Neurospora crassa OR74A: one gene and its partner. The protein of the gene in region 1 interacts with the protein of each later gene in a biochemical or structural test. Links are inferred from orthologs where the notes say so. Each region holds a gene or a part of one and is shown on either strand. Other genes may lie near its edges.

Region 1 (2,933 bases):
GAGGAGCTACTGGATGCCTCTGACGACGGTGCCTTCATCTCGGTATTAAAGAATTATTTTGCTCGGCTGGATGAGTCGGCACACCCCAAGTCGGAGAATCCGAAGCTGAGAGCTGTTACCAGGTTTCAGGAGTTAATGGTGGTGGCATTCAAGGAATTCTCTGGCATCACACACAGCACCATCACAGAGCTGCGCCTCAAGAACAAGGACGCAGTGTTGAACAACATTGAGAGCTTTGCCAAACGGACGGCCATTCGGAACCTGGGCCCGGAAAGCAAGCTTCTTAGCACCGATGAGCTCGGTGCGGTATACGATAGGTTTTACGGTGTGTTGTACGAGAGGCAGCAACGGGATCTCATCATCAAGCAGGAAGAGGCAAGGAGAGCCAAGAGCAACAGGATATCGAGAATCGGCCAAGTGGTGGACGAGGGGAATGTTGAAAAGGGGCGAGTTGGGCTGGGCCCGAGCACAAGCCTGATGGATTACGATGCCTTCAGAGAGTTCCTCGCGGGTATCGCTAAGTGGGCTGTTTCGGACTCCCCCACTCAGTCTCGCCGTGACACGGGTTCCAGTAACGGGGGAGGGTTCTACAACAGTTTCCGGAAGAACGAATCATCCATGTCTCCTTGGGGCAATGGTCCTGAACCAGCAGATCACGAGTTCCTCCAAAGGCTGTTCAGGAAATGGGACTTTGATTCCAGCTCCGCGCTCACCCTCCAGAACGTCGTTACTGGCTTGGCCCGCATCAAAGGAAAGCGTGATATCATGGGAACGATTAACTACTTCTTTGAACTGCATGACGATGATGGAGACGGCAAGGTTGATCGTGAAGGCATATTGCGCATGTCCGAGGCTTTGCTCTTTCTATCACGTCGGGGATTGGAGGGTACACTGGATCGTGCAACAGCACCTAACGGGATGATGACTGAGGGCATGGTGACCCCTGGAAATGAAGTGCCCGACCAATCTGTTAACGAGAGATTTCTCGGGAGCGTCAGTGCATTTATCAGGAGGTGCTTTGAGTACGCAGACCCAGACCATCCCAACAACCAAAACAGCCAGCAACCACCACAACAACAGACGACGTCTCGTCAGGAAGAAAACCTGATCTCCATTGATGACGACGATGCCGCCCAGGGCTTGGCAGACCCTGATGCCTTTGCCATTGGTGACGACGACGACGACTTTGACGAAGAGAACGATGACGATCTCCTAGCCATGGACTCCCCAATCGCCAGCCCGCGCCCAGCCAAGCGCTCCGAGGACACCGCCACTTCGAGCCTGCAACCGCCATCCTCGCTGCATCTCGACCCATCCACCGCGCCCTCGTCCATCTCCAACAACGACGAAGACCGCCGCCGCCGCGTCTCGCGCCAGCAGTCGGAAAAGGCCAACATCGCCCTCGACCCCAACAACCCTTTGCACATCACCCTGCCCACCTTCCGCATGGTCGTCCTGGCCGACGAGCTCCTCGAGCAATTTTTCGAGTCATCCTTCCCGTGCTCGTTCCACCTCGTAGAGGGCATCAACATGTCTAGCGGCAACTCTTCCAACGCCGCCTCGTCGTCCTACGGCGTGGGCGGTCTAGGAAGCACCTTCTCCCACATGGGCTTCTTCGGCGGCGCCGGCGGAGCAAACAGCCAGCAGGGAGGAGCAGGTGCCGGACGCGGTCTAAGAGGCGTACTGGACAATATCGTCACGGATGGAATGCGTGTCGCGGCGGAGGTGAGGAGGCGCATGGAGGAGGCGCAGAGAGAGCTGGAGAAGAATGCGCTGCCAGGGCAGCACAAGCCGGGCGGCGCGAATCGTGGTGGTGGCGATGATGACGATGATGACGAGGATGATGGGGGGCCTGTTGAAGGGTTGTCGCTTGGCGGTAATGGGAATGGTTCTGGCGGCGCGGGAGGGTCGGCGGCGGGGATGAGAAGTGGAGGAGTGAGGAGTTCGGATAGAGATTTATTGACGGGGGCGGATGCAGAGGCTAGTGATCCTACTGCTGAGGCTCAGCTGCAACAAGGGAGTGGTGGTAGTTTGGGAGGAGGAGATGAAGCGAATGTCGGTGGTACGGCCAAGGTTGTGGGCGTCGAGTTTGACGGTTAGGAACCGTTGGACAAGAACATGATTTGACATTATGGTGGCCCCTTTTGTTGGGGTTTCTGTGCGTGGTTCAGGCATCTTAAGAGGTATACTTTACTGTGGATTGTGCATGGGGTATTATTGCCAGGTCATATGAAGGGCTCAACCGTCTTCTGTTTTTGTTTTTTGTTTTGCCTTTAGTCTACTAGGTCCGCAAACTTACTAGGGAGTTTGGTTCAACGTGTCTTTTTGGTTATTGTAACTGGCAAGGAGGTCATCATTCTGAAGGGTTTTTTTTTTCTTTTTCATTTTAGGCATTTTCTTAGTTTTACAATAGGTGACAATCATATCAGTCCCAGTAATGATGTTTGTGATTGAGTATGAAGTGAGTTCCCACAGAGGATACAGTTCACAATCCCTTTCTTTGAATCACCAGCCAGTATGAAGACCAGAACGATACATGTAAACCAAAAAAGAAAAAAAATGGTATATTCATTTCACGCCATTCTAAGCACACCAAAGATCGCTTCTATATAATGCACAACGTCCCCTCCTTTTTCCTCTCTGCTCCAGTCAAACAAAGCCACACATTTACTGAGCAAACTCGCTCTTCTCGTTGACATAAAGATCAACATACTCATCAACCGACATAGCCTCCAACTCCTTAGGGTTCTGGCCAAGAGCAACCAGCTTCTCAACCTTGTCGGCGCTGAAGTGGGGCTCCAAGTGACGCTTGTACTTGGCCAGGATATGGGGCTTGGCCTCCTCGCGACGGAGGCGGTGGCCGAGGGGCGCCTCGACGACGACCTCGTCAAGGAAGGTGCCATCGTTCAGTTCGACGGTGAGACCGTTGGAGA
Region 2 (5,458 bases), on another chromosome or scaffold:
AGTCTGGAACGCATGGTGGTCGAGTTCACGCTGGATAACCCCAGTGTGGCCGTCGGGTCGCCCAACGTTACCGACCTCCAGATTGCTGATATCCGTGCAAAGGTCAGGGAGGGAGATGTTACGCCTATCTTGAAGGCTTATGAGAAGGGCCTCCGTCGTCCCTTGGTCGGCGCCGTCAGCGGTGACCTGGTCCGCTCGCTGCTGATCCAAGTGCAGAAGACCAAGGTGGATTTAGAGGTGGCTATCAGTGGTATCGACTCGCTTCTCAAGAGCCAGGAATTGCTCTTTGGGTTTGTCGGTCTGGCGCCCGGGGTTGTTGGTAAGTTATTTTGCTCGACTCTTGTCTGAGAAACGTTGAATGCCACTGCTAACTCTCAAATACAGTCTCCATCGGCATCGTCCAATACCTCAGGACCGTCTTTGGCAGCCGCAAGGGACTCCGCAGAGGAGAAAAGGTTCGTCGTATCGTCAGGGTACTCAGAAACATGGACAGAATCCTGGCTGCGGGCGCTACCAATCCCAAGGGCGGGCTCAAGTACAAGGACCGCGGGCTGTTGCTTTGCGAGGCGCATGTGCTGCGCGAACTCGCTACTGAAGTGCTCCCTGGAGACATCCGGCGCGAGTTCCTGGAGGATCTGGAGGATTTGACGAGTGTGAAGAATGTCGTTCTTCAAGAAAAGGCTCTGCAGAGGATTCGGTGGGCATACGCCGATTGGCTGGGCAAGAAATAGATGGCTGTCAGAGTTTCATCAATCCTCTATCCCGAGATCCCCAGCGCGGGAGTTGGTGAATGGCGGTAAGCGTTTTGTATTGTTAGTTGGGCTGTGATGTGATATGATCAGTGTACTTTAGTAAATAGCGACTAGATCTTCCATGATTCTTCTGTTTGTATGAAATAGCTATAAGGACTTGGAGTTTTGAGAATGCACGGGGGAGATGGTGCCGGTGATATGGCAGAGGTGAGCAGGTGCAGGAAGTACCGGGCCTAAACACCAAAACAGAGTTGTCTACTAACCCCTTAAACACGGTGGATACCTACCTACCTATGTGCCTATAGGCGGCGACGTTTAGTCCACGTAGTGTGAAAACACCCCACGGGCATGTTGCTGGACTTTTTCACGCTTCACGCAGGGGCATAACCAGGGTGCAGGGTCACCCAGGGGCCGCCTTTCGTGTGGCGGGAGGGCAGGAAAAGGCTTTGGTGGAAGAGATCATTGGGCCAATATGAGTTATAGATCCATCAACGGATACTGCGTCTCGTGCGTATAGACTGTTCACCGCCCTGCCCGCCTTTCTCACCATGTTGCTGTGAGACCGCCCAGTCGCCTGTGTCTGCAGCTTCAGCTGGCCTTTCACGATACTCCATTTTGTTGAAGAAGCCAAGAAAACCCCTTAATCAACTTTCCTGGTAAAACAAACAAATAAAGACAGCTGGTCTTCTGTTGGATGCGCGAATGAACGGATGGTCTCGTTTGGTCTCGAGGCTCACCTTCTTCCGCGACCTCAGATATTAGTGGCAGAGCTCCCTCCCTGGTTCCTGAATCTTGGGTTGCATTCGTTGAGAGTGCAGTTGAGTTGTCTCTTTCTCACTCCGGTTTCCTAGACACTTTGCGCCATGCACAACAACTTGTCCTTCGAGCTCATCCTGTCATTCATAACACATTGGTATCTCTATCTACTGCAAGGTTGAAAGGGACACAAAGAATGGAATATCAGGTGGAGTTGTTGCGGCGATTGTAGGTTCTAGAAACTTGACCGATTACGTACCGAACAGTCGCGTCCCCTAGACCACGATCACGCGCTGCAATAAGCGTTCTTCCACTAGAGTGGAGGTACAGGTGTAAAGGGCACAGATAACCCCCCATCCCATACATAGTGTAGCCCGCGACTCGGTAGCACTTCAGGCAAGTGCGTCAACCCTCACATTGTACCTCTATGGTGGTGATCGCGTTGCCCGGGCTCTGGACTTCCACTTGCCCTGCGCTTTGGGACCCAGGTTAGCATTGATTAGATAGTATCAGACATCAGGGGCATCTGAGACATTCCAGTTTTCTTGGTTCCTTCCTCTCCACGCAGGGAGGTCTTGGACAAGTGGAAGCTACAAGACCCCTTTCTGCCTTCCCCGTCCTCGTCATTGTTCGCCTTTCCATTGGATCTCCGCACGGCATCGCCCCGTAAAGTTGGAGGGAGAGAGAGCCCAGGTACGCACTGCCCGCAGCCCAGTAGCCGGCCAGCCAAGTCTACCTTAGTGCAGGAGTAGGAGACCCCATCGCGCTCTCGCCTGTTTGTTCGTTCTGCGACTCCTCCTCCGCTGGACTACTACCTAACCCGTGCAACCGCCCTGCAGTTTTGACAGGCCCGTCAACGTCGCACTGCGGACACGCTTTCAACTACCACCACCACTGCATTCCACCACCACTCACTCACTCACCTACACTACCTACCTACAACTGAACATCATTCCTGCTCTGTCGCCTGTTTCCTGAACTGCGCATCGTCACCACCATTCGAGCCTCCAGTCTCCATCCCCATTCCCTTTCCCGCAACTACCAGTGTACAACAGCCCGACGATTTCGAAACGCCGGATTTCGATTGATATCCCCTTTGCCGAATTCCGGAGTCCGAACTACCAGAGAAACATTCCAAGAGATCGAAACGACGGGCGGCGGCGTTAACCCCCACACCAGTTCATCATGTCGAGTAACAGGAATTACGATTTTCTGGTGAGTCTTTCCTTCACCTCACCGCTCGCACTCTCGCGACATTCCTTGTGTTCCCCCCCTCCCCCGTAGTGGGTTTGGCGAGGTTATTCTGTTTCCAGACGCTGACCGGAGATACCGCTTCACGACATAGATCAAGCTGCTCTTGATCGGAGACTCGGGCGTTGGCAAGTCCTGCTGTCTGTTGCGCTTTAGCGAAGACTCATTCACACCGTCATTTATCACCACCATCGGTATCGACTTCAAGATCCGCACAATCGAACTCGATGGCAAGCGGGTGAAGCTACAGATATGGGATACCGCCGGTCAAGAGCGTTTCCGTACCATCACGACGGCATACTACAGAGGCGCCATGGGCATTCTTCTCGTTTACGACGTGACGGATGAAAGGTCATTCAACAGTACGTGAACCCACATTCCCATCCCGCATAAAATGGCATGACAGTTGCGGTCAAGAGGTGGTCCTTGAGGTCACGCTCGAAATGCGATGGATTGGTGCCTTTTAGATGCCATGCCTCTCCATTGCTCCGGATTCTGGCATCAGCAATCTCCCATCGGATACCATGCCATGTATTACCTCGCTCCTTTGCTGACGTGACCTTCTCTTCGCAGATATCCGTACCTGGTTCGCCAACGTGGAGCAACACGCGACGGAAGGAGTCAACAAGATTCTCATTGGAAACAAGTGCGACTGGGAGGAAAAGAGGGCGGTTTCCAAGGAACAAGGCCAAGCGCTAGCCGACGAGCTTGGCATTCCCTTCCTCGAGGTTTCGGCCAAGGCGAACATCAACATCGAAGAGGCCTTCTTCAGCCTCGCCAACGACATCAAGAAGCGCATCATCGACACATCCGGCAAAGAGGCGTCTGGCGGCTCGTCGGGCGTGAACGTCAGCGACAACAGCGGGTCAGGATCCGGCGGCAAGTGCTGTTAAGCCAAACGGGTAGCAGTTGTGTGGCGGCGAAACCCGACCCTGGAGCTCGCAAAAAAAAAAAAAAAAAAGCCCGCTGACAATCACGATGGCGATACGAGATCCGATTTATCCTCCCGAAGTATGGATGACAGCAGTCTGGCCTCATTCAGTTCTATTTGGCTACAGCCTACGTCTATCGAACATGCACCTGTCTTCCTGCGGGCCACCAATATGCACGGCCGGGTCTACCGCATGGAAACAAAGAGGCGGTGTAGGGGAGAAAGAGGGTATCTTCGGTCTCAAGACTTTACTATGGTTGTAATGAAGCTAAGGTCCAAGAGGAAAAGACGGCTTTAGTTATTCTGGAGGGCTCATTGAAAACCCCTTTCTTGTCACTCGGGAGCAGGAGGGAGAAGCGGCGCGGAAGATACGACGCGTGCTCATTTCCGGCTTCTCGCTATTGGGTCTATTATTATTGCGCTCTAGAAGCAGTGGATGGTAGGATGGATAGGCTAGGGAGCTGAGGACATCAACGACGATACGGAGACATGTGAGTATTACGACCGGCTTGATCGATATAGATGGATTGAGGTTGGGTTGGCAGCATGGACGAGGGGCAGAGAGCGAAACGAAACATTCTGGTCACGGAGTTTGGGTGCGATCTTTGGCTCTTCCTAATATATTTCATTTTCTTCTCTCTTGACTGTTTCCCCTTTGTTGTTCTCTTTCTGGTTTGTAGATTTCGTGCGCGGCCCCCCTTATAGCTGTATCTCCAAAGTATGACGATACGACACCCATAAAACAAAACATAGATAGATATTCCCTGAAAAGATGGGGACGCCCTGGTCAACCATGGCTAGTGTAGAGTATCAAGACGTATGACGTGAGCGATAACATTGTTGACATGAGCCACGAATCCACAAGAGGTGCTCTTTTACTCTTTCGGGAAACGAGCACAAAGAACGGGATAGATGTGGTCTGTGCGTTGCTCAACTTCCACTTGTCGGTCCCTTCGGTCTGACTGTTTACATAGTGCCGAGGAAGCCACCACTGCACTGCGGCATGCCACCACGCTCACTACAGGACCCATACTCGAGGGTGATGGGTGCCTTCTGGCTCTGGGCGCCAAGGCTCTTCCACCCCCTCCCTATAGGAGAGGGGGTGGATAAAATATGGGATAGTAAATTAATTTGGGACAGTAGCGAAATATACTATGTAGATTCGCCAATTAACGCCCTGTAAAATCACTCTTTTATATTGTAATATTCGCGCAACGACATTATTACCTTGTGACTACATTTCGCATTCCTATCGCCTTAAAGCTATAAAATAGTAAGAATCTATATATCTATAGATTAATAGAGAATAGCTATTAACTTACTATACTAATAACTAACAGACTCCCCGACCCCGCTAGTTTATCTAGTACCTATACCTATTTAGCTTCACAAAAACAGCGAAACCCCTCATCAATCAGAATTATTGCGGCATATACTAGGTAATCTCGTATATCTATCACTCGTTATACAAAGTTGTTACGTAAGGAGGGTAGAACCGCTATATCGACTCGTCCGCGGGATCGACTATACATATTAATAAATAAGGAGGAGGATGCTCTCGTCGTATATACTATATTTTACTTCAAGGGAAGGTTTCCAACGTTGTAAGAAATAGTCGTTAGCGTGGCCAATTCGCTCAGAGGGTTACACGGAGTACCTACTACGTATAACGGTCGCTAGTTAACGCGGTTCTTGAAGGATCACCCCGAACTAAAGAGTCCTACTTACTAAACTATAAATATTAAGAGGAAATTCTAGGAGCTCAATA

The links.
Region 2: of the proteins of NCU00681 (region 1) and NCU06404, one has a biochemical effect on the other in vitro, tested with the Saccharomyces cerevisiae proteins (2 studies listed by BioGRID). The link is inferred for Neurospora crassa OR74A from reciprocal best matches to the Saccharomyces cerevisiae genes MDR1 and SEC4.

The regions. Positions count from the first base shown.
Region 1 is NC_026501.1:7,577,825-7,580,757, forward strand, and holds the end of NCU00681 (GTPase activating protein), read left to right. Parts: coding exon 1-2,100; 3' UTR 2,101-2,433; downstream 2,434-2,933. Other genes in the region: NCU00680 (2-methylcitrate dehydratase), read right to left, coding at 2,668-2,933.
Region 2 is NC_026504.1:2,622,276-2,627,733, reverse strand, and holds NCU06404 (GTP-binding protein), read left to right. Parts: upstream 1-2,025; 5' UTR 2,026-2,693; coding exon 2,694-2,723; intron 2,724-2,853; coding exon 2,854-3,121; intron 3,122-3,332; coding exon 3,333-3,652; 3' UTR 3,653-4,519; downstream 4,520-5,458. Other genes in the region: NCU06403 (hypothetical protein), read left to right, coding at 1-319, 385-731. UniProt on the Saccharomyces cerevisiae protein: Involved in exocytosis. Maybe by regulating the binding and fusion of secretory vesicles with the cell surface. The GTP-bound form of SEC4 may interact with an effector, thereby stimulating its activity and leading to exocytotic fusion.